Linked DNA regions of Schizosaccharomyces pombe. Changing the gene in region 2 together with the main gene of any one other region gives a genetic interaction. Each region holds a gene or a part of one and is shown on either strand. Other genes may lie near its edges.

Region 1 (7,574 bases), on a different chromosome or scaffold from region 2:
ATTGCTCCCAAGACCGCCAATCGCACTTTTTATGTGGCCTTGTATGAATAATTTTCTCGAGATAAAGAACATAAAAACAAAAAGCAATTATGACTAAAAAACGACCTACTTTCATCTTCAGTTATTCTTTTCTTCTATTAAAAATGCACGCTCTAAGAAAGTAAGAATAGTAAATCGAGATAGTATGCCAAGTATATACACTACGTTCTAATTTATCGATGCAGAATAAAGGTCGAGTAATTTCAAAGCAATCTAATGAAACTCCACGTTTACAATAAAACCGAAATGTTGGAGAAATGACACTAGACCCTAATGATTAGTTAAATTTATTATTCCTGTTCTTAGTATGACTTTGAAACAGGTGTATTTTTCTTCTAGATAAACCTTGTTAGTAAAGACTTCAAAAATTGTGAAGTTTGGAAAACTGAAGGACCTTTGGCTCAAGAAGCGACTGGCCTCATGTAGAGAATCTTAATATGAAGCTTTGCGGTGCTCAATTTCTTGATTGAATACCCACTATTTTCACTCAACAAGTAATATTCACCTTCTAATTGATTTAATTTATAAACTGACTCATTAATTGCTTTGTATTTAGGTCGATATTGAACAATCTTCAGAAGCACGTAGCTAGAGAGGATAAGTTCTAAATGTCGCCTAATCAGAGAAAGGTACAATCTTATTTTAAATTACTCATATAGAAAACTATTAAGGTCCAGAATTCATATAGACGAATACATTCTATAGTTTAATTTTATCATAAAAGTGACTTTTCGTGATACTTCGGCCTTACTAATTACTAGTTTAAATATGTAACGTAATATCTATTTTGACAATGACTAGATATTTAATCAATATAAAAATTCCAAGAAACTGAAAAATTCCAGTATTTCTCTTATAGTAAAAAGCACCCAAAAACGAGAGAAACAGGTTAACTATAGTCAAAAGCCAATGAGTAAGATATTTCGTTAACATACTTCAAGAATCAAGACTTGAAAGCAATGCTCCGTGAAATTGAACATCTGAAAAATTCAAGAAAACTGTTAATATTAACACGAATCCTTATAACTCTTCAGACACTAAGAAATACTAAGGGGAGAGCAAAGTATGAGAAAAGACAAGCATTAAACGAGCAATTAATAATCAAGTAAATAAATATTAAAATTCTTCTTCGTGTTGAACAAAAGCTTGAGAATATAAAGTAATAACAAGAAATATAATAGATCCACCAACGCAACTCATTGTAGCAGCAGCAGTACCAATTAATCCGACATTAACAAATACTATGGGTAAAGCTATTATAAATTAGCATAAAGGTCTCATTCAGTTATAAATACATACCAAACCCGGTACAGATGGTTGCACCGAATGTAAATCGACCAAAGTCAAGAAGATTTCTTTAGTAAACGTTAGTAGAGCTCCTTACAAATAATAATGAAAAATAACAATTATGGTTGAAATAATTTCCCCAGAACAACCAACATTATTATATTTCCATACCTGTCTTCCTCTTGTAAAAAGTCATGGCTTGTCGAGTATTTTTTCGTAAGGAGATTAGGAAGAGGAGCTAAAATGAATGGAATGACTATTCATTAGTAATTCGTAAGCAATGTAAATGAAATAGTTCTCAACGGTTGACAAAATCATACCAATTAGCAGTGGATACCAATTCTTGAATAAAGCACAAGACAGGATCACCAGCATAAATCCTACTGCCAGGACCTTAATAATATAAGTTAGACTCGTTTAAAATGGAATTGATGTCTAGCTCGAGTAGGAGTCATTGAGCGATGCATACCGAAGAAAGACCGATAATTCTAATTGGTGACAAACGTTAACCTTTGCTTTTTCATATTAACAAAAATTACTTACTTCCTGAGGTCGGACATATTTAATTACTATCGTTCACGAATATATACTGCAAGCTAAAGTTTACTGCTTTTGAGAAGAGAGACTTCGATGATTACCAGCTACTTCACCTAAAAAGGGTACGCTCCATTACGTTATACAGATGTGTTCTGTATGCATAGAACACAGAGCGGTGCACAAGATTTGTAAACTTGGCAAATAAGTTTAAAAAGACATATAACGAAAATGACTTGTTACTATTTTTTACACCAATGATCGAGCTTTCGGCTCATTAGTAAAGTATCGCATACGAACAAACTCTGAAAAACGTACTTTGTAGCTACGTAAGTAAAGGCTAGTAATTGACATTAACAATACAATTAAAAAAAAGCAAGAGGATAACCGACAAAAAGCATTCATTTCATTAATTTAACTTTGAGATACTAGTAAAATAAATTTTGTATTGACAAATATCTTAATTAGAGTATACAGGGAATGAAGAAATTATTCCTAGTTGCCCCATCATTAACGATCTTCTTTTTCCAGTCTATTTCTTTCATAGGAAAACACTCGTAAGAATATAAATAGTAGGCTATTTTTTTCGATATAGACTTTTGACGACAGATAAATCCAAACTGTATCATAATTGAGTGTAATGTTTTTTCATCCATGTACCGAGAATTTGTTATGCAAGGCGAAGGCAAAACCAAAAATAACCAAGGAGGCTGTTCTTTATTAGGAGGCATTAACAATCCTGTACAATGTAATAACATTTTAGCTCGGAGTTCTGGAGGTGCAAAATTCAGCACAAGTGAACAACTTATCCCAGTAAAAAGTCCTTCTTCAGGAGTTCTTTCAAGAAAGTCCTGTTGTTTAATCAAGGGATGAACAGAATGCAAATCAATCCTTGAAACTCGGAAAAGTCCACAAGTTGAACATTTGTTGTCAACAGAAACACTGCCAATTTCCAACAAATCTTTCGGCTCCTTAAGACGTGCGCAATACGAAAAACAGGGAGTTGTCCGAATCCATTTTATCAATATTTTACTTGAATCCCCTCCTTTTCCTTCCGCTTGACCGGATCGACTAGCTCGTTGGTAAGCATCAATACCTATATTTTCGAGTTCACTTTCCACATTTTTTATTTTTTCAATCGGAGCACTTGACGCAATAAGTCGAGATTTCTCTTTTAACAGGTTATGATAATGACGAATAAGCTTATTCCCCTTCAGTCCCTTTGCATTATCAATGTTGTTTTTTCCAATGCGATTCTTCACTGGAATGGGACGCATTCAAATAGTGATAAAATATTTGTTAATCTCCCAGATGAAAATATAATTGTATTTACAGTAAATGGTTCATAAATGTAGTTTCCTAATTACTTGAAAAGTTTTTACGATGAAAGAAGTAGTGTCGCGTTACTTATAAAAATTCAGCACAAGAAGAGCTTGGACAATGTATGATAAATTCTTAATATGTAATTAAAGAGCGGTAATTTATGCAACCCTTTAACCATTACACAGAATATTAAACGGGTTTCCTTTTTTTATACGGTTTGTACTTTACAAGCACAAATCAACTTTTTTTATATTTGAAACAAAAATTTAAAGGCTTTGGGCTTCGAGGGGGATCGAACCCCTGACCACTTCGACCCAAACGAAGTATGCTACCACTACACCACGAAGCCTCAGTTGATATTGTGCTTTGAAAACTGTATATATAGTTATTAGATTTACTTGATTATTAACTAAACTTTTTCAATTGTTTTTAAAAAATAATCAAAATAAAGAAAACAACCGCCAAATATGGTAGAACTATAACATAAAAAAATTCGGATAAATAAACAGCCAATATCAACTTCTCTCTTAAATTGTTTTAAATGATTCCACTCATCAGTTACGTTACGATATAATTGATATAAGTTATTTTTAAAAGAAAGTAATAAATGTGTATAAATATGTATATACGACAGCTATTGAAAAGTATTTTGGTAAATTCTAAACTAACGATTTATATCTAGTGGAATTGGATAAGGGACTTTATTTATTATTTCTTAAATAAAATACATTTTAAAAAATAAAAAAAAATAAAAAAAGAAAAGAAAAGAATTTGGTGTACTACGGATTACCTTAAGTTTTTAAGTTAAACGGGTGAAGTGTAAGTATTTATGATATGAAAACCATAGAAACATTTTTGTATTTTTACTACTTACAGACGAATTCTAATTGTTTCACCAGACTATATACTATTAAAACAAATAAGTGCTTCAAAAATAATTATTGTAGATTAAATTTTCTTGATAACTCAAACTTGAGTAAATTAATTTTTTAGAGTATATGTTAAAAAAATAAATACTTTTAGTTTAATTAAACGTACAAAAAGTGTTAACAAACATTATGTACCTGTAAACAAAATGTAATAATTAAATATAAATAATATTTGTAACTGCGGCTGCTATCGCATTGGATGGGGGACTGATTGTTGTACATTTCAGCTAAACTTATTTTTACAAGTTACTTTATTTACTGACACAATAAATTGCGTGTTTTTTTTGGATTACTATAGAAAAAACACATACGTTAGCACTGGAATATTATTATTTAGCTATAAAAGTCGCAAGAGACAAGTATGACAATTTAAAGACAAAGTATAAAATGCATATTACCTAAATTCTTCAGCATTTGAGCTATACTGCATGGCATCAAGATTAAACAATTTAAAAGTTAGCCGTCATTGTAGAAAATATAACTACAGAAATTCTATTATCCCTGAAAATCCAGAGCATCACCAAATTTTATTATGTATCTTCTATTTACTTATAGGTAAAAACAAAACATTTACAGCGTTACAACTTTCCAAATAGTGAGGCGCAGTGAAGCCGTTTCCAAGTATTACAGAGTTTACGCAAGCATTCAGTATATTGGCACAAATGAGACGTAACGGAATGTTAGTGATACAACATCCCGTAACAAAACTTTGTTGGTAAAATCCAACCATTGCATAACGACTTTAGCCTTTTAAAAAGCTTTTTGTGTTTGTAGTCCTTTACTGGTAGTCGTTACGAAAGTATCTAGTCACTGTGGTACTTAACATTGAATTTTCATATAGCTACAGCACCTCGCTTTCTTTCACATTTCGAGTATTAGTCCTACGTCTTTCCTATACTTATGTTATTAAGTCGTTTTTAAGGGGAAGCTAGGTTTTGTATTTAATTTAAAAATTTTATATAGAAGTGGAATATGAGTTCGTTGGAAATCATTGTCGACAAAATTTTAAAATTCCTGGAAAAGCAGCCAAAACCTGAAGGTCGTCCTTTTATTCTTGGAATTTCCGGCCCTCAAGGATCTGGTAAAAGCACACTGGCAAGTGCTTTAGATACCGAATTAACAAGGAAGAACGAATCAGTTGTGAAGTTCTCACTTGACGACTTTTACCTCACGCACGCAGAACAAGTTGAATTGGCCAAAAATAATCCCAATAATCCTCTTGTTCAACATCGTGGTTTAGCTGGAACCCATGATGTCACATTTTTAAATAATGTTTTAAATGCATTTGTTAAGGGAAGCGATGAGGAGGTATCTATCCCTTTTTACGATAAATCCAAGTTTGGTGGCTACGGAGATAGGGGAGATGAATCCCAATGGAAAAAGGCAAATCCTAAAACAACTACCTATGTAATTTTTGAAGGATGGATGGTTGGGTTTGAGCCGCTCGATTCTTGCATGCTGTCTGTCCGAGCACGATCAACACGTTGGCAAAATATTGAAGGAAGTTTACTGTGGGTAAACAGAAAGCTTGCAGATTATCAGCCTATCTTTCAAAAAATTGACTCTTTGGTGGAACTAGAGGCACAAGAGATAAACTATGTTTACAGATGGAGACTGCAGCAAGAGCATGCTTTGAAAGCTCGGATCCACAAGGGTATGAGTGATGAAGAAGTCATTGAATTTGTTAATCATTATATGCCCCAATATGTCTTTTATCTTGGTACCTTATCTAATAAAGTACATCTGAATCCACACTGTTTGGAAATCATACTTGATGAGAACCGATATCCTGTTGTTATGCATTGATGTATTTGTCTAAGATTTAAATCCCATGATTGTATAGCGTTCCTGTACTTTGGAATACTTTTTACGCTCCCCCCTTTCCTTGAACAAAGTTTTTACCTCTACTTTTTCTTTAATTCCAACTTTCTTTTGAAGTAACCCATCAAGGTTTGACCGACAAAAGCTTTTTATGATATTGTTGTATGCTTTTTCTAGCAAGCTGCTTTTAGACGATGTAAACCATCTTTGTAAAACTTAACAATGCGCTGCTATCACGTTCGACAATTCACCGTTTCTAATAAATGCTCCCATGGCGAATAGCCTTTTTCGCTATTTATTGGTTTGCTTCGGTTGTGACGCTTTAAGTACAAGTTTGTTAACTAGAAATATCAAGCATTTTTAATAATGTGATATTCGGTGGGCGGTTGTTGATATGCTTATTGCCAGTAGTCATGAAATAATGATACCAGCGAGTAATAAAATAGCAGTAGGTAAAAGGAAATGAATAAAAACAAAACAATGGTGAAAGCCTGTTGGTCGCATGTAGTCGAAAGCCGTTTTAATGATTGTATGTGAGGTCATAAAAACCAGTAATTTAAACGAATGCAATATTGATATCCGCTTTCACATTGTTTCCAATACCACATGCCATTCATATGCTGTTACATACAGAAACTCAACGAAACATTGAATTTAGCTTAATTTGAAAAGTGGAAAAAGAAGAAAAAACTCGATACTCTTATTTAATGTCACTACGCTCATTGGCCGTATGTCAAGTTGAAACGATTAAGGTCATGGGTTCACTGCAAAGGGTTTGTTCATCACGAAAACAAGCGTTTATTAAGCGCACCGAGATAGACGAAGTTCCCTTTGAGCGGACCATTCAGGATGACTCAATATGAAGGATAAAAGATGCAATCACAGATGGGAATCAACCGTCGGAGTAAATAGACAAACTTGGTCGGCTTGTTTAAGGCACAGTAAACCGATCCCGTTAGTAACGCTTTCTACGCAAGAGAGTTGCCGATCATTCAGCCTCATCCGTCTGAAAGATACTCGATACAGAGAAAATACAAGCTTATACTTGCAATTATTCCCTTCATTTTGCCGATTTAGGAGAATTCGGAGCGAAAAATAAACATTCGTTACATTTCGATAACAAATTAACACATTGCGTTCTGATTCCCTATTTTTAGTTATCACTATCATGCACCTCGCCACTATCTTTGGGTACATTTCCAAGCCTTGCCTCTATGGACAAACGAAAATAGGTATATGTGAAAAGAAGTCCAAATATCTAAAGAGTTTTGAGAGCCATTTAAAATATATAAATCGTAATCTTTGAACTGTAAATGGCTAATCCGCTGATAAAATTTGTATGCCAAAAAATGGCGTGAGTTTACCTCAGATGATTTTTTCGCTGTTTGGTAAATCACCAGCGATATATAAGCCAAGATATCGTTTCCTTTACAACTATCACATAAAGTAACCCTTTAGGTGAACGATCGTACTAGTACCTTGCATTCTTTAATTGCAAGCTAAGAATAGTAACTGCACAGTATACGGACAAGTAGAATTTTTTTGTCCTTGTTATTGTCGGCTTTTTTTGTTGGCGCTATATCTGTCTTTGCGCCCCGTCTACAGTAGAAGTGAGTGTATCTGCGCACTCAGTTGAATTGA
Region 2 (7,913 bases):
GGATTTAGCCTTTATGCATGCTGAAAGAGCCTCTATGGCTGGTAATGCTAATGCTCAATTCCTGATGGGTTATTTATTCGATACAAGAGGTAATACAGAACAGGCAACATACTGGTATAATGAGGCTGCTAAAGCAGGACATAGTGAAGCAATTGAGCGGTTGGCACTTCTAGAGAATCAGATTCAGGAGCCCGAACCAGAAAACATAACTTCATCACAATACCCAAATCAAGACGTTATAAAAGAAATACCTGTTACAGCCTCTGAAACTTCTCCACCGCACGCACCAGCTGTCTCATCTACCCCTGTTACTTCTGCGCCCCCTGTTTCGCAAACAAAAGTTACAAAGGTTTCGGTTCCCAAAAAGACATCTAAAAAGTTTCTTATAAAACATAACAAGTGTATTATATCTTAAGTTGGCAATTTTTGCTCCCTTAGAACATCATTTTTATCATTGGAATCGATTTCTCCCCGAAATTTCGTTTTAGTGTTCAATTGCATTCACATAGCATAATCCGGTTTTTATTTCTCTCATTTGTCCTCGAATTGTCTAACGCTCATTTATAATTGTATAGTTAGCTGATATCCATTTAAGCAATTTCTTTTAAATACATGTTTTCATTCACTACTTTTTCGATAGTATAATACAAAATTGGATCACGAAGAAATACATACTGTGTAATTATTGTTTCATACAAATTAGTCGTCTCAATATTTGCTTTCTAATAGAATTAATAGTATTGAAATAAAAATTTATTAATTTAAATATACCTAGAACACAATCACCATTTTACCGTCCGTATATCACCATTGATGTTTACTTTGTAGCCTTCATGCGAATATACAAATTTTTGAGCTTAGATCCGTTAAATAATTTAGAATTTAATTTAACGTCTTTGGCCATACTTTCAAAATCTTCAGTTCCGTACTTATTTATAAGTCTTTGAATATATGCATGTTCAAATGCACTTAAAGGAAGCATTTTGTTAGACTGTCGAGCTGCTTTTTTTACAGCTTCTTCTTCTAGTTGACGAACAACCTCCGTTTTAGCCGGTGCAATGCTAATTTCTTTGTCTAAAACATCATCAAGTGTTTTTGCCTCTCCGTGAATAATCTCAATAATATTTCCGTCATCATCTCTTCTAACAATTGCTTGACCAGGTGGTAAAGATTTTTTCAATTCATCCAATTCCTCTGAGGTAAGCTCACGATCCTCATTTTCACGTTTAGGATCAGGATAAAGCTTCTCAACACCTCCCGTAACATAATTAGGAGTAGCTAAAAGACCCAACCTCGCATAACTATTTATTTGTTAATAGCAATTCTATAAGAAAGAAAAGAACATAAGACCAAGAAGGAGCGCAAAACTTTTTCCTCAATTTTCATTTGTATAAAACAAATAAAGCAATACTTATTAACTTACTTCTGCCTTAAGGTTGCATGTTTATCCCAATTTTGTTGAATCACAAAATTTCCGTAAATTTTGGCCTTCGCCTTTTTGTTAGCATTACGCCTGGTTAAACGAGGCTTTCCAGATCTTTGCTTATTCCTTTGTCTAGGGTTTGCCATCTTATCTATTTAGAGATAAATGGGGGGAAATGGAAATTGGTAAGCAATCAAAAAAATTTGGTTGTTCGTGAGTTTAAGTGGAGGTGAATGTAGACTACGTGCAGTATGTCTACATAATATTTCAACGAAACACAATAAGATAGTTCTGTGACCTAGTTTAACAATGACTGTTGTCCATTTAATTTATATTTCTCAAATTAATAGACGTTGACAGTTATCACATTTATCATCAATCCTTTTGGTATTGTATAAAATTTAAGTACCCTCATCTTTTTTTTGTCTACATTATAAAGCTGTATGAATTGTGAAACGATATAATATTCTCATAGAGATTTCAATAAAATCTTGAAACAAAATTTATAAATTGATCTTCCTCAACGAATACACTAATTTTAGTGGCATTCCAATATCTAGCACTAACTGTAAATTTCTAAAAATTCCCAAGAATTGTTGAAGTCGAGAAATCATGTATTTTACGTGTCGAATTACCAGAGTAAACAACAGCTATAGGATACTTTTAAAATCACTGTTTAGTCATTTGGTTTACAACTTTATTATATTAACAGTTTTAAATGAACCGACAATTGAAACACCAATTTTTTAATTATTTTTTTATGCCTAATTAAAGATTATTTTTATGATTTCGTTATTCCCTAACCCCAGTATAAAAAAAATTTCGTTTTCTCCTCGTCAAACTTCTTCTTTACCTGCTAATTCTAGTACAATAGTACAACGATTGTTATCGTTATTTGCTAACGTTCATTATGCGATGATTTCTTAGTTGCAATGTCTTAAAACCAAATATATTTTTCGTTGCAGTTCGCAAAATACATTAGCAAGAAACATCGCTTCTATACTATCTTTCCCGATCATTCAAAAGTCGAAATTGTCATTTGCCATCATCGGCTACTTTTTCATTCAGCATTTTTGGTTTTGAGTTTTTGGAAAATTAACGTTAGCACGTCTCAATTATAACAAGCTGAAAATGTCTGAAAAAGTTGACGTTGGTGAAAGCGTCAAAGGAGACGCCTCAGAAAATGCAGTTAAAGAAGTTGCTGAAAGACCAATTGTTATGATAGATAATTATGACAGTTTCACCTGGAACGTTGTTCAATATCTTTCTAATCTGGAAAAACGATATCCTATTATGGTTTTTCGCAATGATGAAATCACTGTCGATGAATTAGAAAAACTTAATCCTTTAAAACTAGTTCTCTCACCTGGGCCTGGACATCCTGCGCGTGATGGTGGTATTTGTAACGAGGCTATTTCGAGATTTGCTGGAAAGATTCCTATACTTGGTGTGTGTATGGGACTTCAGTGTATTTTTGAGACAATGGGTGGTAAAGTTGATTCCGCTGGTGAAATCATACATGGAAAAGTTTCTAAAATAAATCACGACGGTCTCGGATTTTACCAAGGAATACCTCAAAATATTTCTGTAACAAGATATCATTCTCTTGCTGGAAAAATTTCATCACTTCCTGATTGTTTGGACGTTACAAGCTGGACCGAGAATGGTGTAATAATGGGTGCACGCCATAAAAAGTATGCTATTGAGGGTGTTCAATACCATCCTGAAAGTATCCTTAGTGAGTATGGCAAAGAGTATATTCAGAATTTTTTGAATCTCACTGCTGGAACCTGGGAAGAAAATGGCATTGTTATGCCTACAAAAAATAACGCATTTAACGCGGCTATGCGTGAAAATTCGAATTCTGTTTCTTCAACTAAAATTCGCAAACAAGAATCTATCCTTGAGAAAATCCACGCGCAGAGACTTATTGACATTGCTGAAAGTAAAAGAAAGCCTGGTCTTTCTGTGGGTGATTTGCAAACATATTTGAACCTTAACATAGCACCTCCATGTATAAATTTTTATGAGAGATTAAAGCAATCTAAACCAGCTTTAATGGCTGAAGTCAAACGTGCTTCCCCTTCTAAAGGTGACATTAAGTTAGACGCAAATGCTGCTATCCAAGCTCTTACTTATGCTCAGGTTGGCGCCTCAGTCATATCTGTGTTAACAGAACCAAAATGGTTCAAAGGCTCATTGAATGATTTGTTTGTTGCGCGAAAAGCTGTTGAGCATGTAGCTAATCGGCCTGCAATTTTGAGAAAGGATTTCATTATTGACCCTTATCAAATTATGGAGGCTCGTTTGAATGGTGCTGATAGTGTATTGCTAATCGTTGCGATGTTAAGCCGTGAACAATTAGAGTCCCTCTATAAATTTTCTAAATCTTTGGGCATGGAACCGTTAGTAGAGGTTAACTGTGCTGAGGAAATGAAGACTGCTATAGAACTTGGTGCTAAAGTTATCGGCGTTAATAACAGGAATTTGCATAGTTTTGAAGTAGACCTTTCCACTACATCAAAATTAGCCGAAATGGTCCCAGATGATGTTATTCTTGCAGCTCTCAGTGGAATTAGTAGTCCTGCTGATGTTGCCCATTATAGTAGTCAAGGTGTATCAGCAGTTCTTGTTGGTGAATCTCTTATGAGAGCTTCGGATCCTGCCGCTTTTGCACGAGAGTTACTTAATCTTTCTTCTAGCGAGATATCTAATGGTAAAAAAACATCAACACCCCTAGTGAAGGTATGTGGTACTCGTTCATTGTTAGCTGCTAAAACCATTGTAGAATCAGGAGGCGATTTGATAGGGTTAATTTTTGTGGAAAAGAGCAAACGAAAAGTGGACTTGTCCGTGGCCAAGGAAATTTCACATTTTGTTCATACAACCAATAGAAAACACATTTCCCCAAAGAAAGCAGTGACTGGTCAAAGTTGGTTTGATCATCAGTATGAAAATCTTGCTTCCTCTCCGCACCCTTTGTTAGTCGGTGTGTTCCAAAATCAACCATTAGAATACATTCGTTCTATAATAGCAGAAGTGAACTTGGATATTGTCCAGCTTCATGGACAAGAACCTTTCGAATGGATACATATGCTCGATAGACCTGTTATTAAGGTGTTTCCGCTAAATTCTTCTGAAATTTCAAGGCCCAACTATCATATTGTACCTTTGATTGATGCATATGTCGGTGGAGAGTCAGGAGGTTTAGGCAAGAAAGTAGACTGGGAAGCTGCATCTTTCATTCCAGTATCTTATGTCTTAGCTGGTGGTCTAACACCTAAAAATGTACAAGATGCTATATCTGTTAGCCGCCCAGCTGTAGTCGATGTATCGAGTGGGGTGGAGACTGACGGGAAACAAGATCTTGAAAAGATCAAGGCATTTATAAACGCCGTAAAAGAACTTTAACTTGTCTACATTAAATCAAGTTTGTCTAGATGTTTTTGGATACATATCATGAGACTTCGCTTAAAATAACTGGTTTTAGATTTTGTTGGATAAGAAGTGTGCGATAATTATATTATCTGGTTATTGATCACTTTTCTGTATTAAATTAAGAAATATTTTATTGACAAAAATGGCTGTTATCCAAATGTATTTGGCCGAATGAAGCACATTATAAAGTGATAGTAGGAATAGGGAAACGATTGGCAATAGTAAAGTTATATGCTAAAGAAAGAAAATGAATAGTAAAGACTGTACAGATTTAATTAAGCAACGATAAAGGGATAGAACGGAAGCTGATCGATGTAATTATTTGCAATTCTTGGGATAACGAACGAAATAAACACCATGTATTAACAAATCAAAGAAGCAAATTATTTTAACTTTGCGTTTTGACTTAGCCAAGCCAGACCCTCCAACAGCCCGTCTCCTGTAAGAGCACATGTTGGCTGAACGTTCCATAAACGATCCTTCAATTTGTCTAGCTGCAAAACATCGGTAATTTGAGCAGGTGAAAGAGCTACCATAGTGTTAGCATAAGTTATTCGGATTCGCAACCTTACCTCCAGGCAAATCCTGTTTATTAGCCAACACCAAAAGAAGACAGTCCCGCATTTCACGATCTGAAATAATGCGATGCAATTCTTGACGAGCTTCTGATATACGATTGCTGTCGGCAGAGTCAACAACAAAAATTAATCCTTTGGTTCCAGTAAAATAATGCCGCCATAAAGGTCGTATTTTATCTTGACCTCCAACATCCTACAAACAAATCAACGTTAGAACATGCTCGACCCAAGATTGATTATAAATATACCCAAACGTTAAACTTGATGTTTTTGTAAGTGACTGTTTCGACGTTAAAACCCACAGTGGGAATGGTGACAACACTGGCTGTTAGTTAATGAACACAAGAAAAATCAATTTCATTTACGGAAGCATAATTGCAACTCAAGATAATGCGCGACAGTAGACTTCACTGATTAATTAACCAACAGTCTTCGTAATGAAATCTATATCTACTATGCTAATACAGAAGCAGCGCATACGATACCTTGACACAATCGAAGAATGCTGTTTAGTGCTCTTTACCTTTGATTGAGTTTTAATTTGTATAAGATAGCTAAAATGTTAATAAAAGAGTTACCATTATTAAAACACCAAGTTAAGCACGATTATACGGAATGAAGACTGTAAAAATCCATCCGAATAAAAAACATACTCGTTTTTCCAGCTGCATCCAGACCTAGCATTAAGATACGCATTTCCTTGTTAGAAAACAACCGACTAAATGGCTTTGAAAACCCCTTAAATAGTGAATTGCCCATGGTATCAAATAATCCCAGAAGAAGATAACCAAAAGAAAGAATAGACCAAAAAAACCAAAGAAGTAGAATTTATATTGAACCCAGATACAGGGCTTTCTTCGTACTTTAAAAGACGGCTAGCACTAAACGTAGGTGCAGCTGATATCAACTCTCTCTGTCTGAAATATTTAATTAAGCCGAGCTGATACATAATGTAAATTAACGAGCTGCGTAACTGAATTATATGGAAGCCCATGGTCTTGTACTATATCGTAAATCCCATGTACGAATAATAAATTAAATATTAAGAATATTATTTTTATCGATTAACTTTTGGAATTTCCATCAAGTTTATTGAATAGAAACATTCTCATTCCCTTGCCTAATAACGCAGATTTATATTACTCAACTTTAACAGTGTATGTTAATGATTTGAAGCCTCATTATTTAAAGTATTTTTCAAAAAAAAATAAAAATAAAAAACAATCATATAAAATAACATTTAGTAGAAGAAGGCTTCAAGTATTGAATTATAAACAAACTAATGTTTTCGTAACATATGTTTCTATGCTAGCACTGTATTTTAAATTGTACTTTTTAATATTGATTCTTTATTTTTGTATGTATATCTCTCTATCTAGCAAGTGACTATTGAGATACAAGATCGACGATGATCGACAATTTTCATCCGAGTCGCGACCTATCTAGTAGTAAGCATATGTAATAAGTAAGTAGACCTAAATGTTAAAACTGTAACAGTCTTTCTACCAAATACACATTCTGAGATAGTCTTTAATGAAACATGTCTTTCGAAGGTAAAACGATCACTTGCAAGGTATGAAAAAGAAAACGTAAATCATTGTCTAAAGTGTAAATGATATTGGTGCTGTAAGTCCACCAAAGGTTTACTTTTGATATTATTGTTCATCCATGAGTATATGGATAATTATCTTTTATTTTTTCTTTCTGTGTACTAATAACATTCGTTTTAGGCAGCCGTAGCTTGGGGTGCAAAGGAACCTTTATCTATAGAGGAGTAAGTATAATGATGACAAAAGGAAAAGAATTTATACTTGAATTTTATTACTAACTTTTGACTTCTCTTCTGCTCATCAACGGGCAGAATGGGAGGTGATACTACAGTATTCAGGTTGCCCCTCCAAAAGCTCATGAGGTTCGTGTGAAAGTCGATTGGAGTGCTGTTTGTCACACAGATGCTTACACGCTGTCTGGTGTAGATCCAGAAGGCGCATTCCCTATTGTTCTTGGTCATGAGGGTGCTGGTATTGTGGAAAGCATTGGCGAAGGGGTTATCAACGTGCGTCCTGGAGACCATGTTATTTTGCTATATACTCCGGAATGTAAAGAGTGTAAATTCTGTCGTAGTGGTAAAACTAATTTGTGCTCCAAAATTCGTGAAACACAAGGTCGAGGTTTAATGCCTGACGGTACTAGTCGCTTTTCCTGTCGCGATAAAACGTTGCTTCATTACATGGGATGTTCTAGCTTTAGTCAATACACAGTTGTAGCTGATATCTCGCTTGTGGCTATTTCACACTCCGCACCTCTTCGCAGTATTTGCTTGTTGGGCTGCGGTGTCACAACTGGATTTGGTGCTGTGACACACTCTGCTAAGGTTGAGTCTGGTTCAACGGTAGCTGTTGTTGGATGTGGATGCGTAGGTCTCGCTGCAATGCAGGGTGCGGTTGCAGCTGGTGCTTCGAGAATCATTGCTA
Region 3 (7,637 bases), on a different chromosome or scaffold from region 2:
CGATTACTATCCGATGAAACGATGAAAGGATCTTTTAGAAAATGAACTATAGATGTTCCAACCTACAGATCACAAAGCAATAAAGACCTTAAAAACGGTAAATCTGATCGAAAGCAGTGAGTTTGAAAATTATGGATGACCAAAAAAAGCGCAGCTAACGGTACTATATATACATCCGAAATTTCCTTTCTCCATCAAATGCATAATATCTTGCTAAATATCGCACCTTGTCATGTTTCTCATTTGCGTCACTTATAGCTACACAAAAAGTCGATCATGACCTTCCGAAATTGCAGCGTATGTACTAAGGATTACGGAAGTAATGCGGAGATAAGATTCGGCAAGTTTTAGACAACGTTTGGTAACGTGTTCATTTTCGATCTAAGGTTGTGCTGACAATGTCTAAGATCGCAGTATGATGGCTAGAATGTCGATGAATTGAGCTCTCAAGATCTATCTTATATGTTCTTCTAATGTTCAATACATAAGATGTATTTTGAGACTTCAAAACTCAGTTTCATTTACTTGAAAACAATACAAAATGCAGTCTTTTCAAGCTCTGTGTCCGCAACTTAAATTCCGGTATATTGTCGCCTCCATTGACGATCTTTCTTGAGGAGAATGATGCCGACAGATATGAAAGTAATCGAGGTTTTGGGACGTCAGTCAAAACCAATAAAAGAGAAAGTAAAAGTAGAACAATGAAACTCAATCTGTTTAACAGGAGAAACTATTTAAATGGAATTGTACAGCAATAAGCTAGGCAAAGTAAAAAATGGATCGATATATCGTATTTAGGGGATGTGTTCTTATTTGCGTATTATCCAATTCGTTATAATGAAAAGGATTCTAAAGAGGAAGGAATGAAAAGGGTCCTTGCTAATGAGAAATGAAGAGTTTTACAGAATGGTGGTGCTTCTTAAAGAACAAATGATAGACAATTCTTGTGTTTTACGTCTCTTATGAGTTTTATTTTTATTATATTTTTTTATATATATTTTTTTTTCTATTTTTCTATTTTTTTGCTTCACTACTTATAGCTTTTCGTACTCTATTTTTTACTTATAATACTTACGATGGGTAAAAGTTGTATGAACCAACATGTGTATGAACCAAATGAGCCAACAATTTCTTTTTTCTTTCAATTTTTATTTGTTCATCTTAATCATTATATATACTATTCTTCTATCTCATACTATTCATCTGTCTATCCCTCCATTCAAACTTACTCCCACTACAAAATGTCATTTACAAAGAAAACCGGTTAGCGATGTCTCGTTCCAATTCGTTATATCATCTACCTAGAGGCAATTGAGGAGAATGCGTTTTTAGACAAATTTGGAAAAAGTTTTTCCTTATAGATAAATAGATTCTTGTCATCTCTGTAAAATCTTTTCCGCCATTGCACTCAGCCATACTGGTTTCTATTCTTACTTCCGTTTTCCATTTTTTCCGCTTCCCAACTAACTCATCATCCTTTCCCCCAAGGTCCGTTACATCATTTACCCCGCAACTGTGGGGTAAAAAAAAGAGCCGAATTTTCGTTTGGAATTGCGAAATTTCCTGTCTCCCACAAGAAGATCTCATAATGTTCATTTTTGGGGATAATTTAGGAATCAAATGGGCATTTATTGCTTTTCCTGCATTCTTCTTGAAAGATGGATATTTCTCTTCCTTTTGATCCGAACGGATCAAAAGTCGTGCTGTCCACATATCGTTGTATTTCCGTCTGCTAGAATGCATCATCAGCAATCTAGACGTATCTTCTTGTTCTCGACATCCTTTTCCAAAAATTTTTAATTCTGAAATCTATCAGCAACTCCCTTAAACTCAAAATATCGATTCCTTTATCTTGAGGAGCGATGGATGGGCTAGAAATTTTGATTCAATAGGTAGGTTTTTTTTTTTGCAATTGCATTAGTAACTGTTTGGAGGTAAATTGAAATAACAAGCATTACTTAAACCCTTTGCCTTTTTTTTTGAATCTTTTTTTTTAAAAGGAATCGTTTGTAGAGTACTTTGAAACTGCAGCCTTAATTCAACGTCTTCTTGACTACCTTTATTTTCCAAATTATGCGAACCTCGCTTGCATGCGACTATACAAAAAATAAGGAAACCAGTCTCGCATAAAATTAAATTTAATTTTAATCTTCAAAGCATCTCGATTTCGCGGACTAGGATCCTGGATAAATGCGTTGAAACTAAGCCGATGGGTTGTAAGAATATGGGAAAAGCTGCAATGTATCACATTGAATAGTCAATTGAAGGACATGGAGCTTTGAGCTTGTTGAATGAATAAAAGTTTTTGATGAATAAACGTTATTAGACATGATTGTATTTATCGGGTTTCGACTTTAAAAGTTCAATCAATTAATGAAAGACGTAAAAGCTGGACGTTTATTGAATAATCCAAAAAAGGTTATTTTTATATACTTTTAAAAAGAAAAAAAATAGTATTTAACGGATATAAACATGTATTGGTTCATGTACTTGCTTTACTCTGATCAAGTTGGTGTATGCTTTTTGGTTTCCATTGCTCTTTTTCTGATTATAATGCAAAATTACTCATCGTGTTTGCAGTTATGTTGAATAGCTTTAAAATTTACGTATCGTATTGTCAAGGTAGTAAATGTAAACAAAAAATTTTCATAGGGAATCATTACCAATTCGCTTACAGAAATTAAACATATTACACTCACTGTATGATGAAAAATAAAGTAGATTTCGAAATAAGATTATTAGAGTGAAGAGAATTTTAAATTGATATGTGAGAAACAAAACTCCGTCATAACTAATCTTTACAGTTGAAAATCCAATTGTGAATCCCTAGCATGTTTGAATTAATATGTGCAGTAGTCTAAAAGCAAGTTTGACACGTTGGTTTTTGAACAGGTGGTGAACAAAATAAATCTCGAGCGTATGGTTGAGACTATTTTATTATTTTTATATTAACTTTATCATAAGATGTCTATTCAACTGACTCGTAAATTCTGAAAACTACATGTCTTAAGAACCTGAAACAGTTTTAATTGCATTTGAATTTGGAATTGCATTAAGCCGACCCTTTAAGAAATTAAATATAACACTAAGCATACGTTTATTTCCCACAAGGATTATACATAGTTAAACAAAACGAGAAGTCAGTCCCCACGCACTATATGTTGGTAGAAATTTTACATGAAATTTTGATGCATTACAAGATTGATTAAATGTAGCGTGTAACCGGCTAACAGGATTCAAATGTATTAGTAAATGGAATCGGTAGTAGATTTATCTTTCTTTGATCACGTTTTGACATAAATCATAACTTCCGGCTTGTCGTCAGCTAATCGAGTAAAATTTAGTTGAATCCACGTATGAGTCTAATGTATGATCGATTAGTAAGTTGGATGAAATTGATCAACTCGATTTCGGGTGTTTTCCAAAATTTTTCATAAATATTGCATACGCAATGGAAGTAAGAATTGTATATAAAATGGTAAAGATGCTCTTTATATTTTAATCCATTGCCAAACTCCTTTCATTTAACAATAGAACACACTCAAAATAAAGTATCATGGCTCAATTCACTTTATGGTCGCATGCTCATGGTCCTAATCCATGGAAGGTGGTTCAAGCGCTGAAGGAGTTGGACCTTACCTATGAAACCAGATATGTGAATTTTTCAAAAAATGAGCAGAAATCCCCCGAACACTTAGCCTTAAACCCTAACGGTAGAGTACCTACCTTGATTGATCACCACAATAACGATTATACCATTTGGGAATCTGATGCCATTTTAATCTATTTAGCTGACAAATATGATACGGAAAGGAAGATATCTTTGCCTCGTGACCATCCTGAATACTACAAAGTTATACAATATTTATTTTTTCAAGCTTCTGGCCAAGGCATCATTTGGGGACAGGCTGGATGGTTTAGCGTCTATCATCAGGAGCTAGTCATATCTGCCATTACCCGTTATAGGAATGAAATCAAACGTGTTCTAGGAGTCCTCGAAGATATCCTTAAAGACCGTGATTATCTCGTGGCCAACCGGTTCACAATTGCTGACTTATCATTCATTTCATGGAATAACTTCCTTGAAATTATTTTTGCAGAAGGAAAGTTTTCAATCGAGGAAGAAGTGCCTCAGCTCGACTTTGAAAAAGAGTTTCCTAGAACTTATTCCTGGCATCAAAGACTTCTTGCCAGACCTGCTAGCAAGGCTACCTTCGAAGAAAGATCAAAGGCTTTGGATAATTAAGTGAATTTGTGGCGTCTATCTTGATAATAACGTTCCAATATTTCAATTGATTGATTGATTCTTTATATTTCAAAATTCATGCATTGTTTACTTTCCTTTATGCATATAGATATAGACTCAACTTTTTCGTTTCATACATCAATTGTTCAAGTGCTCTTTCAATAATATCATCTTTAAACTATGATTTTCTACTATACATTCCGAAAATATATACAAAGCAGACCATGTAACATCCATCGTATTGCTCTTGCTAAAATTGGTATTTATTGTTTGGAAAAGCCAATCATCAAAAGTAAAAAATATAAAATGAAAGAAGGGATAGCTGTAATCATGTCGAAATGACTTGAGGCGCTAATTTTATTTTATTTTTTTATTGTTACTATCTTTTTATTTTTCTTATACTACAAGACCTTTTTTATTTTTTTTTTTTAAATAATGTCGTCAATTTATTGAGAAAAGTTCAATGATTTTATTAAATTTTTAAGTAAATTATAAATATTATGTCTAAAACAAAAGCTCGAATAAATAATAATCAAATATTGTTTTCTTTATATGTTGGGCAGGCTTGTCTTATATTTTTTATTTTAATTATTCTGAATATTGTAAATAAGATGAATTCAAATACTCATGAACACAAATATAATGTAGGGTATGAAGAAGTGATTCATTATCGAATTTAGAAAGGTCCTAATATAAAAAACAAAGAGAAAATCAATATAAGCAGTCGCTGTATATTAAATTATCCAATTTGCTTAATTCAAGAGTGTTCTTATAAAGCTCAAGAATATGATAATTAGTAACAAAGCAAACTAGGCCGCCTGTATTTTGTACATGATAGTTTCAATTTTAAAGTATTAGAGCAAAATATTAAACAAGGAAACAAGCAAAAAAAAAAAACTATTAAAAAACAGATGATACCTATTTATGAAAACAATAGCGTATAATGAACATGAACGTATTGCACTAAACAAATTAGCGAGTTACAATGCCTAAAAAACACAGTCACATAACAATACTGCTTTCCATTTTGGTGTCGCAAACTATTTAACAACCAGTTTTTATTAAATCGTAAATAAACGTTGTTTTTTATTTCGTTTTTTGTTAGGACTTCCTTTAATTAAAACTACCTTAAAAAAAACAACTTCTTAGTATGGATATCTCTTAAACTTGAATTGTAGTAACGGTTGCTGTTAACTGAAATGAATAAAACGATGAAACAACATTTGATAGCCATTGTCCTTGGCCTTATCGAAGCTTATCTAGCTGCAATTTACCAGTTAGAAAAGTCAAAAATAGGCCTACAAAATTGGCAAATGCCGGTAACGATTATTTTTGCTTTGTTTCGCGAAATCTTTAGTGAACGAAAATCAAGGCTTATAATACATTTTTAGAAAGTTGCACATTTCACATACAAAATTTTTTATTTATTGCTATCCTGGTATCTATATAGTCGATGAATATTTATTATTTTTATTTTTTAAATCATTAATTGTATGGTAAACTGGGGAATTGTAATGATGTTTAACTTGTTACGATGTCTTTATTTTGTGTCTATAAACTTTTGTTCTAATGTACAACAAACTTATTAAACTGGACAAGCAAGTAATTATGCCGGGGAAATGTCTATACATAGGATTATCATATACACAGCAGCAGCTAATGTGCTAATTCATGAACGCATATGGCAATCATAAAGCGGATGTTTAATATTTGATCCTTTTCTTTTATTTTCTACGAACATTAATGAAATCATCAAATTGCCATAAGAACAAAGCAATATTATGGGGATGCCATCCAGTCAAACACACCTACTAGAGTTAAAAGAGACAGATGCTAGTACTCATTAACTGGAAAAACTTGGCTGACAAGAAAAAAGATCTTGCGGTTTTAATTTCCATCTTAATGTACAAAATGTTTTATTTAGCTTCCAAAACGTTTCTAACCATAACGGATGAAGAAATTGATTCCATTCAGAATGAATTAGCCAAAAAAAAAAACGACTATTCACTCACTACATGCAGCTTTCTTTCGAAGGGAGATATTGTCAAGAAAAAGAACAAATGCCAGGATATCAGATATAATCTGCTAAAATATAACATAATCAATCATGTAAAGTGAATGTTTTCAGGAATATTAAATACCTTCCATAGTATATTTGCTCTGAAGACATTACTCAAAGCCATCATTAGCATCAATTTTTTCAGCGGGAAGAATCTTAGTTCCTAAAAGACTCGATACCACTTTGGCTTTGGCTGTAATTTTGTTCCAGTAAGAGTCAAACCCAGCATCGGTCTCCTCCAGTTCATTGTTGGTGGGCAACGACTCTAATAACGATTTCAACTGTTCTAAATGCCTATGTGCCTTTTTAATTTTAGGATGTTGTGAATTTTCTTCTTTCAACCAAAAACACACGCGTCCATAAATTTCACCCGCCAGTAAATATTTGTTATAAGCATGCTCGAGTCCAAACAAAAATGCTTCCTCATACCCTTGCTCAATTCCCTTTAAAATTCCTTCATCATAACCACGTTTGTACTCATTTTCTTCCAATTTGGTCACTTCCTCCCAGTCCATGCGGCAGTGTCGTTTTGTAATAATTTTTGCCAAAAACTGAGAATTTGCAACTTACAGAGGATTAGCGGCTAACCTTATTAGATACAGCACAACACAGTGATATATAGTTCCTGCAGTATAATGTCAGCAATACTACACTACGCTATAATACACTACGTTGAGTATCACTATATGTCACATGTTCTAATTATATATCGTACCATGTATGATACGATATGGAGATTGATCTTAATGATAATCTATTAAGATCAATATTATCTGAATACTATAAATAGAGCTACTGCTGAACCTCGTTCCTCAGTTCAGTTATGAGCTATATTAGTGATAGGTAACATTATAACCCAGTTAATACAATACCTATACTCAGTTGCTACTTATACAACCTGTGTATTGTAATATAATAGATCACAAGGAAAACTCACCGCAGTTCTACGTATCCTTAAATCAGATACCAAACTGCGTAGCTTACATATAAAAACGAATAACAAAGAAGAATTATATCGCCCTAAATGAATTTATGGTATTCGTTTGATATCCGATATTTCTTTAATTTCAAAATCGCAGCATTGACATCTCTAGTGTAAATCTCATTTACTTTGCCTATAGCAGTCGATAATTCATATAGAACATACTTTTTTTCTTTTTTTAAATCTAAGTCTAATATTTTGTTTCAAGTACAGGAGCTAGTAAAGTATATCACATAAGTTTCAATTGGCAAGTGTTTACATTGCGAATAACTGCAGTGTTTCCTTGCTACTTTTAAACGCACAGTCTAGTTACATACAAAGATTAATTAATTTTCAAATATACACAACAC
Region 4 (8,485 bases), on a different chromosome or scaffold from region 2:
GTATGTAAATTCCCCATGATTGTATATTAAATTCAGGTATGTGAATTCAACTTTCTTTATTAAATTTATCGAGAAGAATTATTGAGTCAAAATGTCCTAACAAACTAACTCATACACATTTAGAGATGTTATAATTATTAATTATTGGAGGAAAGACACGAGAAGAAATAAAATTTATGCAAAGAGGGATATTCCTTGCTTTAGCCTGGTTTTCGAGTTATTAGGATATTTTCAAAATTTCCTGCTTAAAATTATAGTTGACACAATAGGGAAGTAAAACAAAGAAAATCATACTCATATTGTATTACTTAAGTTTTGACTTCTTTTCTTTGTATTGGCTCTAATAGTTGCTAAAAGTTGTATTATATTAATGTAGTAAACCTCGATATAACAAAGAATTCAAATACTCTGTCATTAATCAATTTGCAAGTTATGAATTATTAAAAAAGAACTCTTTCTCAGTTTTGTCTAAACATATCCGATTACAAACTGATATCAACTTGTTTTGCAAATAATGAGCCAAATACTGATGTCTAACTCACAAAGGAGAAGTCCCGGTGTATGAGTTGAACAGATAACTTCATATTATTCAAAAATTCAAAGAATAAATGCATATACTAGTTCTCTAAATTGCTAAAGAATTTGTTCCTAAATTCGTCAAATTTACAACAATCCAAAATTCTGTATTCATGAATCCAATACTTATCTATGTGACTTTGGTATTAATAATCAGTTTAAGGCAACTCGCGAACAGCATGGTTAAATGCCTGTGCAACATGCTCTACATTAGAATTGTTCAAACCAGCCATAGAAATACGACCATTTGCACTGAAATAAAGATGGTACCGCTCCTGGCAAAATTGGACTTGTGCAGGCGTTAAACCGGTAAAAGAAAACATTCCAATTTGTTGTGTAATATGATCCCAAGAACCGGGGGTTTTGAGTGCAACAAGAGAATCGCGAAGACGTTTCCTCATCTCAATGATTCTAGAAGACATAGTCTTTAAATCTTGTTCCCATTCAGCAAACAATTGAGGACTGTTAAGAATTTCGGCAGCAATACGTGCACCGTAAGCGGGAGGGTTAGAAATGGTGTTACGTTGAACAATACACAATTGAGATAAGACCTTGTTTTTAGTGGAAGCGTCCTTTGCAACGTAATGCATGCAACCAGTACGTTCACCATAAAGACCCATATTTTTAGCAAATGACTGACAAACGAAAAAGTCCTTGTTATATTTGACAAACTCGTTTAGAGCCCAAGAGTCACGATTCAGATCACCACTGGCAAAACCTTGATAAGCAATGTCAAAAACTACCAGATGCTTGCGAGAAAGCAGACTCTCGAATATAGAAAGCCATTGTTCCCTAGTGGGGTCAATACCAGTAGGATTGTGAGCACAAGCATGAAGTAAAAATATACTTCCTTCGGGAGCAGATTTAATGGTACTTAGCATGCCTTCGTAATCAAAAGATCTATTCTTGGCATCCCAATAAGGATATGTATCTACAGTGACTCCCAATTTTTCCCACAAAGTGCGATGGACAGGCCAAGTAGGGTTGGAGATGTATACATGGGCTCCAGTGTGCTTTACATAGAAAGTCTCAATGAAACTAGCAGCAAGAAAATTGGCACCAGTACCAGAGACTGACTGCATAGATGCAACACGGTCCTCGGACAATAAATGAGGATTGGGTCTGAAAAGAACTTCAGCCGCAGCCTTAGTGAAACGAGGCAATCCAGCAATTGGTAAATATTCATGGTTGAAGCTTGCCTGTTCTTCCACTATTTTAGATGCTTTTTTAACTGCAGGCAAAATCCAAGGCTTACCAGTATCGTCACGATAGGCGCCAACACTCATGTTAACCTTCTTGGGATCTTCATCCTGATGGTATTGAGCATTTAATTTAAAAATTGCATCTGCCTTAGCTTCCTCAATATTTGCAAACCCGTAGTCTGACATTGTGGTTAAATATGCGGTAGGTAGATTTCAACCTTACTGATCTACTATATATATATATTTATCACTCGGTTTAGTATCACTATATTATCAGTATACTTCATTGACATATAAGATACCGAGCTTGATGTACTGTAATAGTGAATAACGATACAAAGTTTGACTCGTATAGGGAGGAGCTTAACTTTTACAAGGAGGAGCTCTGAAGTGTCTTATCGAGAAAAGTAGGCAATATGTGAAGTTATATTATTATGGTCAAAGATTGGCTTTCCATAAAGAAAAGTAATCTTTACTATAAATATCATTTTTTATCATTAGTAAGTTCAGGCAACCGAAAATTTCCAGGGTAAAATAAATGTTGAAAGACCCAAAAAATAGGCGACAACAGCCGTTGATACCAAGTTGGACTAGGTTTGTCGGTAGTGTATTTATCAGCAACCTTGGCCATAACAGCTATACTATTCACTGGATACCCAAAATTTTGGTTATTTTTTTGAATAAGCATTAAGCAGCGACCTAGCATTAACAGCTCTTTCGGTAAACGAGTGCAGTCCTGTAAGAAGCCAATGAACTTTTTGCGTTCAGCAAGCTGCTGTTGGAAGGCCTCTTTCTTTGAAATAATTTTTTCACCAGTGTGAGGTTGCTCTTCATCCATTGGAATATTTAACATGCGGTTAGCAAAAAGCTCAGGTTGTCCAATCCCCCAAGCATCCATTACCTGAAGAATAGATTTTTTGTCTAATGAATAGGCTGCAGTGAAAAGCAAGGCAAATTCTTTTCTAAACTTTTCTGATTCAAATACATATAACCCATGATCCAAAATTACCGTTTGACACAAGCCTGCTTGATTTTTTCGAACAAGGATATTTCCAGGATGTGGATCACAATGAACTTGTTTCGAATGAAACATTTGGAAGGCAAGGAATCTGAAAAGGTTCGTTAAAATTTCCTTTTTGCTCATCCCAGCTTCAGAAAGAGCAGTTTGATCATAGAGGGGAATGCCATCAGCCCATTCAGTAACCATTACTCGCTTTCCAGAAATCTCTTTATAAACCTTTGGTATATATATCTTATCTCTTAAATAATCAGTTTCTTCTACCCCTTCACGAGCATGTTCCGAATTGTTAGCTTCAGTTGTAAAATCAACCTCAGAACGTAATCTTTCCGAGACATAATCAACCGTAAAGTAGAGAGGGATATGAAATATCCATTTATCATAAACATACATCATGTATTTGTACACGAGAAGATCCCACGACATTTGCTTAGCAACATCTGGTTTTTGAATTTTTACCGCGACCTTTTCACCGCTAGGTAAAACAGCACGATGTACCTGCGCAATACTGGCACTTGCAGCAGCACGTTTCTCAATGCTGGCAAATACTTCCTCTACTGGTCTTCCATATTGCTCTTTGAATATGTCTTGAAGTTCTTCCCATTCAACTTGAGGTGCATTGTCAAACATTCCCTGAAAGGCTTTCCCATACGCTTCAGGCAAATTATTTGATTGCATAGCAATGATTTGACCCATCTTGATGTATAAACCGCCATTTTTGTAAATCGTTTTAAACAGTCTCTGTGCTACTCTTTGGTGCAAAGCATCAATTTTGTCTGCCTTTTTTTCGCTGAAATTCAACTTATAGTCAGCCGCAATTATAGAAGCGGTGTATACTGTTCTAATACTACGGGTAAGTGCATGGGCATTATACACTCGATCCCAAGCGTAGACACCTATTCCAGCAGCACCAACAAATACGAACCTCTTCATCCATTTACGTTTGTTACCAGGAACTCCATGATTTTGCAATGCTTGACTGTTATAACGTACATCAGCATATGTCTTTGATCGCTTAATGAAGCGACTGGTAGTTTTCTGCAGTAGAGAAATTGTTCTCCACGAAGTCAACATCTCTACGGGATGAAGGCTTTGAAGAAGACGAATTTGAGCAGAAGTAAACTAAGTTCAACACTTTGGATTCAAGGAAGGTAGTAAAGGGACTATCATAAATAGATCAAGTTGGCGCTGTGTCCTTTCAACATTCTCAACTTTCTGACCTAAGGCAGCCATTGAAATGCATTCTCCCATTTAGCGTATCATACTTTTGATAAATTAACTGAAGATAACGTCGCCAGTATACTATTATTTTAGACATTATATTACACAATTCATAAATAATGATATTCAGTGTAGTCGTTATGAATGAGGGATTCTGTCAATAACTTTTTTATTACAAGGTGATATGCTACTACAGCTCCGATAACACTTAAGAACATTGCTCATTGATATACTGAAAGTATTAAATGCTATGTCGGTCAATTGCTCGTCGAAGAATCGCAGAGCAACAGATCTATTCAATCCAAAAACAGGTTAGGGTTATAAACAGTCACGTAAATAGTCAGTAATATATATACCACTGTTTCCACTTTAATTTTTCCAAATGATACCTTTGAGCTCGAACGATCGTGGTTGAAGCAGTCATACAGGAATTTTTATTCCTCTAAACAGCTTTAGGGAAAGTCCCCGGACTCTTGCGTCTTGATCTCCATGGAGATTGGGACAGGCGGTAACGTGCTGACTTGAAGAATCAGCGGTTTCATTAATGGCGCTAGTTTTTCCTTTAGCCTTTGTACTTTAAACCTCAAGAGATATAACTCCTTGTCCAGAATGGAGTAGATAAGGAATACAGTCTATGAGTTGTGTTTCTTGAGCGTCTAGTGTACGAACGGTATGGTTGATTACGCCATTTCTGAATTGTGGTTTTTCGTCGTAGTTGATAGTTATACGGTCGCATCCATTTGTTGATGTATCACAATGGGGCTTAGTCTCGTGCTCAAAGGTTTTTTTCCTTAAAGAAAAAGGTTTGAAAATTTGGTTTACTCTGTCGGAGTGCTTGTTCGAATCAAGCCAGACCTACTTTTAGTTAGCATATTATTAAATGTAGCTTTTCCCAAAATATGATGATCGACAAATACAAAGAGTCAAGCACTGAAACGCGATAGCGTCTTGTTGAGTTATTTGGTCTGATTTTGGTATTCATATAAGTTTTTTGTTTCTAGAGCTGTTTTACGTTATTTAATGAATTATGTTTTCTTGTAATGAATTATAGGTGCTATGTAGCGTGATATCAAGTTTTGCTTTTTCTTATTGAAAGTGTTAAGGTACGTTGGCATAGGCTCGTTAAAAACGAATGTTTGGGGTTCAGATATGTTATCCATGCATTAAATTTTCAGAGATAAGTCAAGCAAAAGAACTGCAAATTTAGCCGCCATCAATGTTTTACTAATTGCGGTAGTAACAGTTTGGTTTAGTGATGGAAATAGCATAGGTAGCATAATAACATAAGTCGCAGTAGCTCAGCTGTGTTATTGTTTACATTACTTGGTTGCGAATTTTTGGCATCATTTATTGTTTGCGGGCTTTTTTCCTTCAAAATTAGATTGCTCGTAATCTCTTGACGATGGGATTTTATGATTTACCTCTCTCATTACTAATTTGATTTAATCCTACAACGCAGCATTTTTACTTTTTTTGCCAGCTGGTTCAAGCTGGATCTTTTGGCATATTGTAAAGTGCTTAATTTCTGTTGAGGTTTCCCTATAACTATAATTTCTGATACTTGTTAGTGTTATGCAAACATAGTTATTATTTTCCATGAACTATAATGCAAATGTTGTCAAGTTTCATTCAACAATACTTCACAAATTCGCTCTGAAAATATCGAAATTTCTAATTTTATGCATGCGTCGAAATAAGCGCCAATTGGCTTGTATGAAATGCCAATGTGAAAATCCAATGGCTGCGATTACATATGCAGATATTGAATATCCTCACAATACGCATTTTCTACTTTTAGACTCAATTTCGTGGATACCGTGTACATGTAAAATTCTCAAGTTAAAAGAATTCGAGCTGCCAGATCGCTTTGACATTCCAAATTTGTTTTATGATGGTTGGTTATCTTATGTTTTCCATACGTTTAGTGGTGTCTATTTGAAAATTGGTTATGAAATGGATGAGAGCGGGTTTTGCCTTCCTGATCAGGTTTATCACTTGATCGATAATCATTCTTGTATACAGACAGCAGTTTCGCATCTACTTCGAAATCATCAAGCTCTATTTAAATATTTGTGCGACTATCTACGTTCGGGCGAATTTCCATTAACTGTTTTGATTCATCATGTCATGCTCTATCAATATTACCCGAAAAGTCTTCAGGAAGCCTTGTGGGCAGCAGTTGAGCATTATGTAAACAATTCAGGAGAAGCATACAGTACTGTCCAAAAGTTAGCTGTACAGAAGAAAATTGGAAATATTCGCATGTATTTGGTAAATCCGAGGGATATCTTTGCTCTTGGCTCGACATGTAACTGCATTGTAGTAAGTTCGTCGAATTTTCAGTCATACGTACAGCTTCGTAAGCCGCTATTGGAAAATAATCTACCTTATGAAATTGATGGATTTGACAAAATTCTTCAGTGTGCTAATTCTGAAGCAGACATCGGTTGGATTGCAATGATTCACTGTATTGGCTCAAACGGTTATGCCTTCCCAATCCATCTCTATTTGAATATGAAAAAAAATATATTTCTCGGTAAACTACCAGAGTCGACGTTGCTTTTGTACAATAGTGATGGTGCAATCTTTAAGAATCCGCCTTCATCCAAAAAGGAATGTGACTTTTATAACCAATTGTTGCTAGATCTCTGCAAATGTCGCCAATTCAACGCCGAGATGGAGTGTAACATGAAAAAATTGTTCAATAATCCAACGGGTCTTCATTCATTGCCAAATTTACCAAATTTTTCTGAAGCAGGTTCAGCAAAATCAAGCAATTTTTGCTCGTCAAAAGATAACTGCTTAACCAATAGACTAACATTGAATTGTCTGGATACACCTTCAGATGAAAATGGAGAAGATATAGCGATTCAACTGATTATACCTGCTGAATGAGATGAGGATTGATAGAATTCCGAAGAAAATCTCGAGTTGGCTGAATTCGCCAATCCGAAAACATCTTTCACAAAAAAGAACCCAACATCAAGCTTGATGGGTGAGCCTAAAGTTATATGCGAAAGGAATTGAGTTTGCTTTTACTAAAAAATCTAACGAAGCAGATGATTTATGTTGACCAGCTATGGTGAATCGGTGGACCGAATTATCGTTTTGTGACAACGGGAACGAAACGATTTTTTACCCACATTATTACCGAACTACACTCACATCCTGACCTTATGTATTTGGTTGGGGAATGACATGACTGAATTATAAATGATATACAAAAGTTTAAATTAAAATCACGTAAAAGCGAAGAAAACAAAAACAGAAACCAAAAAATTCTTGACCTTACTCGGTATTCTTTACAGTTTCCGTTCCTTTTGTAAGTATAAGAATAAAAACAATGCCTATTTTCGCTTTGCGGTTGCCTGCTGAGCAGAAAACTAAGCGAACCTTAATATTCTTTAAACTTTCCACCATATTTACTTTTATACATTAGAACTGTGTTGTTCAATTTCCTTAATTTTTTCGACTGCAAATTACAGTAAAGTAACAATACGTACTAGAGGATATACAAAATATCTGTTTTAAATGACAGATATTTACTATGTCTTTAATGAAAGATATAATACCTACTTGTAGGTAGTATTCTCTATCAGTAAGCCCATGCGCAAATATCGTACACTCAAAGGACTGATGATGAATGCTGGACAGGTCGGTACAATAACTTTTTGTAGCCAAGTCCATCGCCAAACGTTTCTCCTTCAACTAACTAACTAACTATAAGAACAATCATGCACGTATAACCAAATTATTGTTCCCGTATGCACATACGTTATTGTACATTTGAGTATGCAAACATGAAGGCGACACATCCGCTAACATGCCAAATGTATATCATTCATTGACTGCCACTCGCTTAGCTAAAAGTGCGAACGCATATGTAATTCTATGAGAAATTTAGTCATTTCCACATGTAACAGTAATTTTGCGAATACTAAGGCTAACATGACAATCGTAAGCCAAGAAGACTTCCTAATTTCACTTCAGACGGATGAGCAATTCACAACTAAAAGTTGCCTCAAATCACTACTACCTGTATCACGATTAGAATGAAAATGTCGGATTTTTGAGATGTTATCGCCATGATGCAATCTTTTCGCAACTAAGTACTTTTTCTATTAGCAAGATAAACCGACTCCTTGAAGCAACTTCATTCTCTAGTCCTTATTCTGATCTCCAAGTTAGGTAAATGGAAATTCAACTATTTGTGCAGAAACCCCATCTCCCATTATTACCCTTGCTGCTCTTCTTTCTATCTGTACACTTTGGGAAGGGACTGTTGAGTCGGACATTCAACACTTTTTACAGCCACCAAAAATAGGTTGCCTAGACTAACAATAGGAAGGAACTTGTCGTCATGTTAAAAATCGGCCTTGCTCATAATAATTATTTTATTATTTTATTTTTTTTTTATTAGTTTTGGACGCAGCGATAAAATGCCCGATAAGGTTAGAAAGAATAGGTT

The links.
Region 1: mutations in arf6 (region 2) and bmt2 together harm fitness less than expected from each alone (positive genetic interaction), as found in Schizosaccharomyces pombe (one large-scale study listed by BioGRID).
Region 3: mutations in arf6 (region 2) and gst1 together harm fitness more than expected from each alone (negative genetic interaction), as found in Schizosaccharomyces pombe (one large-scale study listed by BioGRID).
Region 4: mutations in arf6 (region 2) and SPOM_SPAC10F6.14C together harm fitness more than expected from each alone (negative genetic interaction), as found in Schizosaccharomyces pombe (one large-scale study listed by BioGRID).

What each region holds. Positions count from the first base shown.
Region 1 is NC_003424.3:361,113-368,686, reverse strand, and holds bmt2 (rRNA (adenine) methyltransferase Bmt2), read right to left. Parts: upstream 3,243-7,574; 5' UTR 3,138-3,242; coding exon 2,325-3,137; 3' UTR 2,245-2,324; downstream 1-2,244. Other genes in the region: SPOM_SPAC630.12 (lipid phosphatase), read right to left, coding at 1-115; protein Vps55, read right to left, coding at 1,156-1,292, 1,339-1,394, 1,498-1,582, 1,647-1,719, 1,796-1,814, 1,870-1,886; mug58 (glycerate kinase), read left to right, coding at 5,085-5,918; protein mug177, read right to left, coding at 6,813-7,130.
Region 2 is NC_003423.3:4,374,142-4,382,054, reverse strand, and holds arf6 (ADP-ribosylation factor-like protein Arf6), read right to left. Parts: upstream 6,327-7,913; 5' UTR 6,199-6,326; coding exon 6,093-6,198; exon of another isoform or gene 5,994-6,092; coding exon 5,963-5,993; exon of another isoform or gene 5,761-5,962; coding exon 5,688-5,760; exon of another isoform or gene 5,633-5,687; coding exon 5,434-5,632; exon of another isoform or gene 5,391-5,433; coding exon 5,245-5,390; 3' UTR 4,878-5,244; downstream 1-4,877. Other genes in the region: chr4 (SEL1/TPR repeat protein1, 3-beta-glucan synthase regulatory factor Chf3/Chr4), read left to right, coding at 1-415; ribosome biogenesis protein Nop16, read right to left, coding at 818-1,301, 1,424-1,569; trp1 (anthranilate synthase component II), read left to right, coding at 2,555-4,834; fmd1 (glutathione-dependent formaldehyde dehydrogenase), read left to right, coding at 6,980-7,012, 7,170-7,213, 7,321-7,913. UniProt on the Schizosaccharomyces pombe protein: GTP-binding protein that functions as a molecular switch for the activation of 'new end take off' (NETO), a process in which the directions of cell growth change from a monopolar manner to a bipolar manner in fission yeast.
Region 3 is NC_003421.2:1,715,934-1,723,570, reverse strand, and holds gst1 (glutathione S-transferase Gst1), read left to right. Parts: upstream 1-3,500; 5' UTR 3,501-3,556; coding exon 3,557-4,246; 3' UTR 4,247-4,428; downstream 4,429-7,637. Other genes in the region: SPOM_SPCC191.10 (uncharacterized protein), read right to left, coding at 1,294-1,743; ribosome biogenesis protein Lto1, read right to left, coding at 6,416-6,820. UniProt on the Schizosaccharomyces pombe protein: Involved in the oxidative stress response and detoxification.
Region 4 is NC_003424.3:1,230,054-1,238,538, forward strand, and holds SPOM_SPAC10F6.14C (ABC1 kinase family protein), read right to left. Parts: upstream 3,989-8,485; 5' UTR 3,871-3,988; coding exon 2,263-3,870; 3' UTR 2,209-2,262; downstream 1-2,208. Other genes in the region: protein-S isoprenylcysteine O-methyltransferase Mam4, read right to left, coding at 1-17; caa1 (aspartate aminotransferase), read right to left, coding at 735-1,964; SPOM_SPAC10F6.15 (uncharacterized protein), read left to right, coding at 5,614-6,912.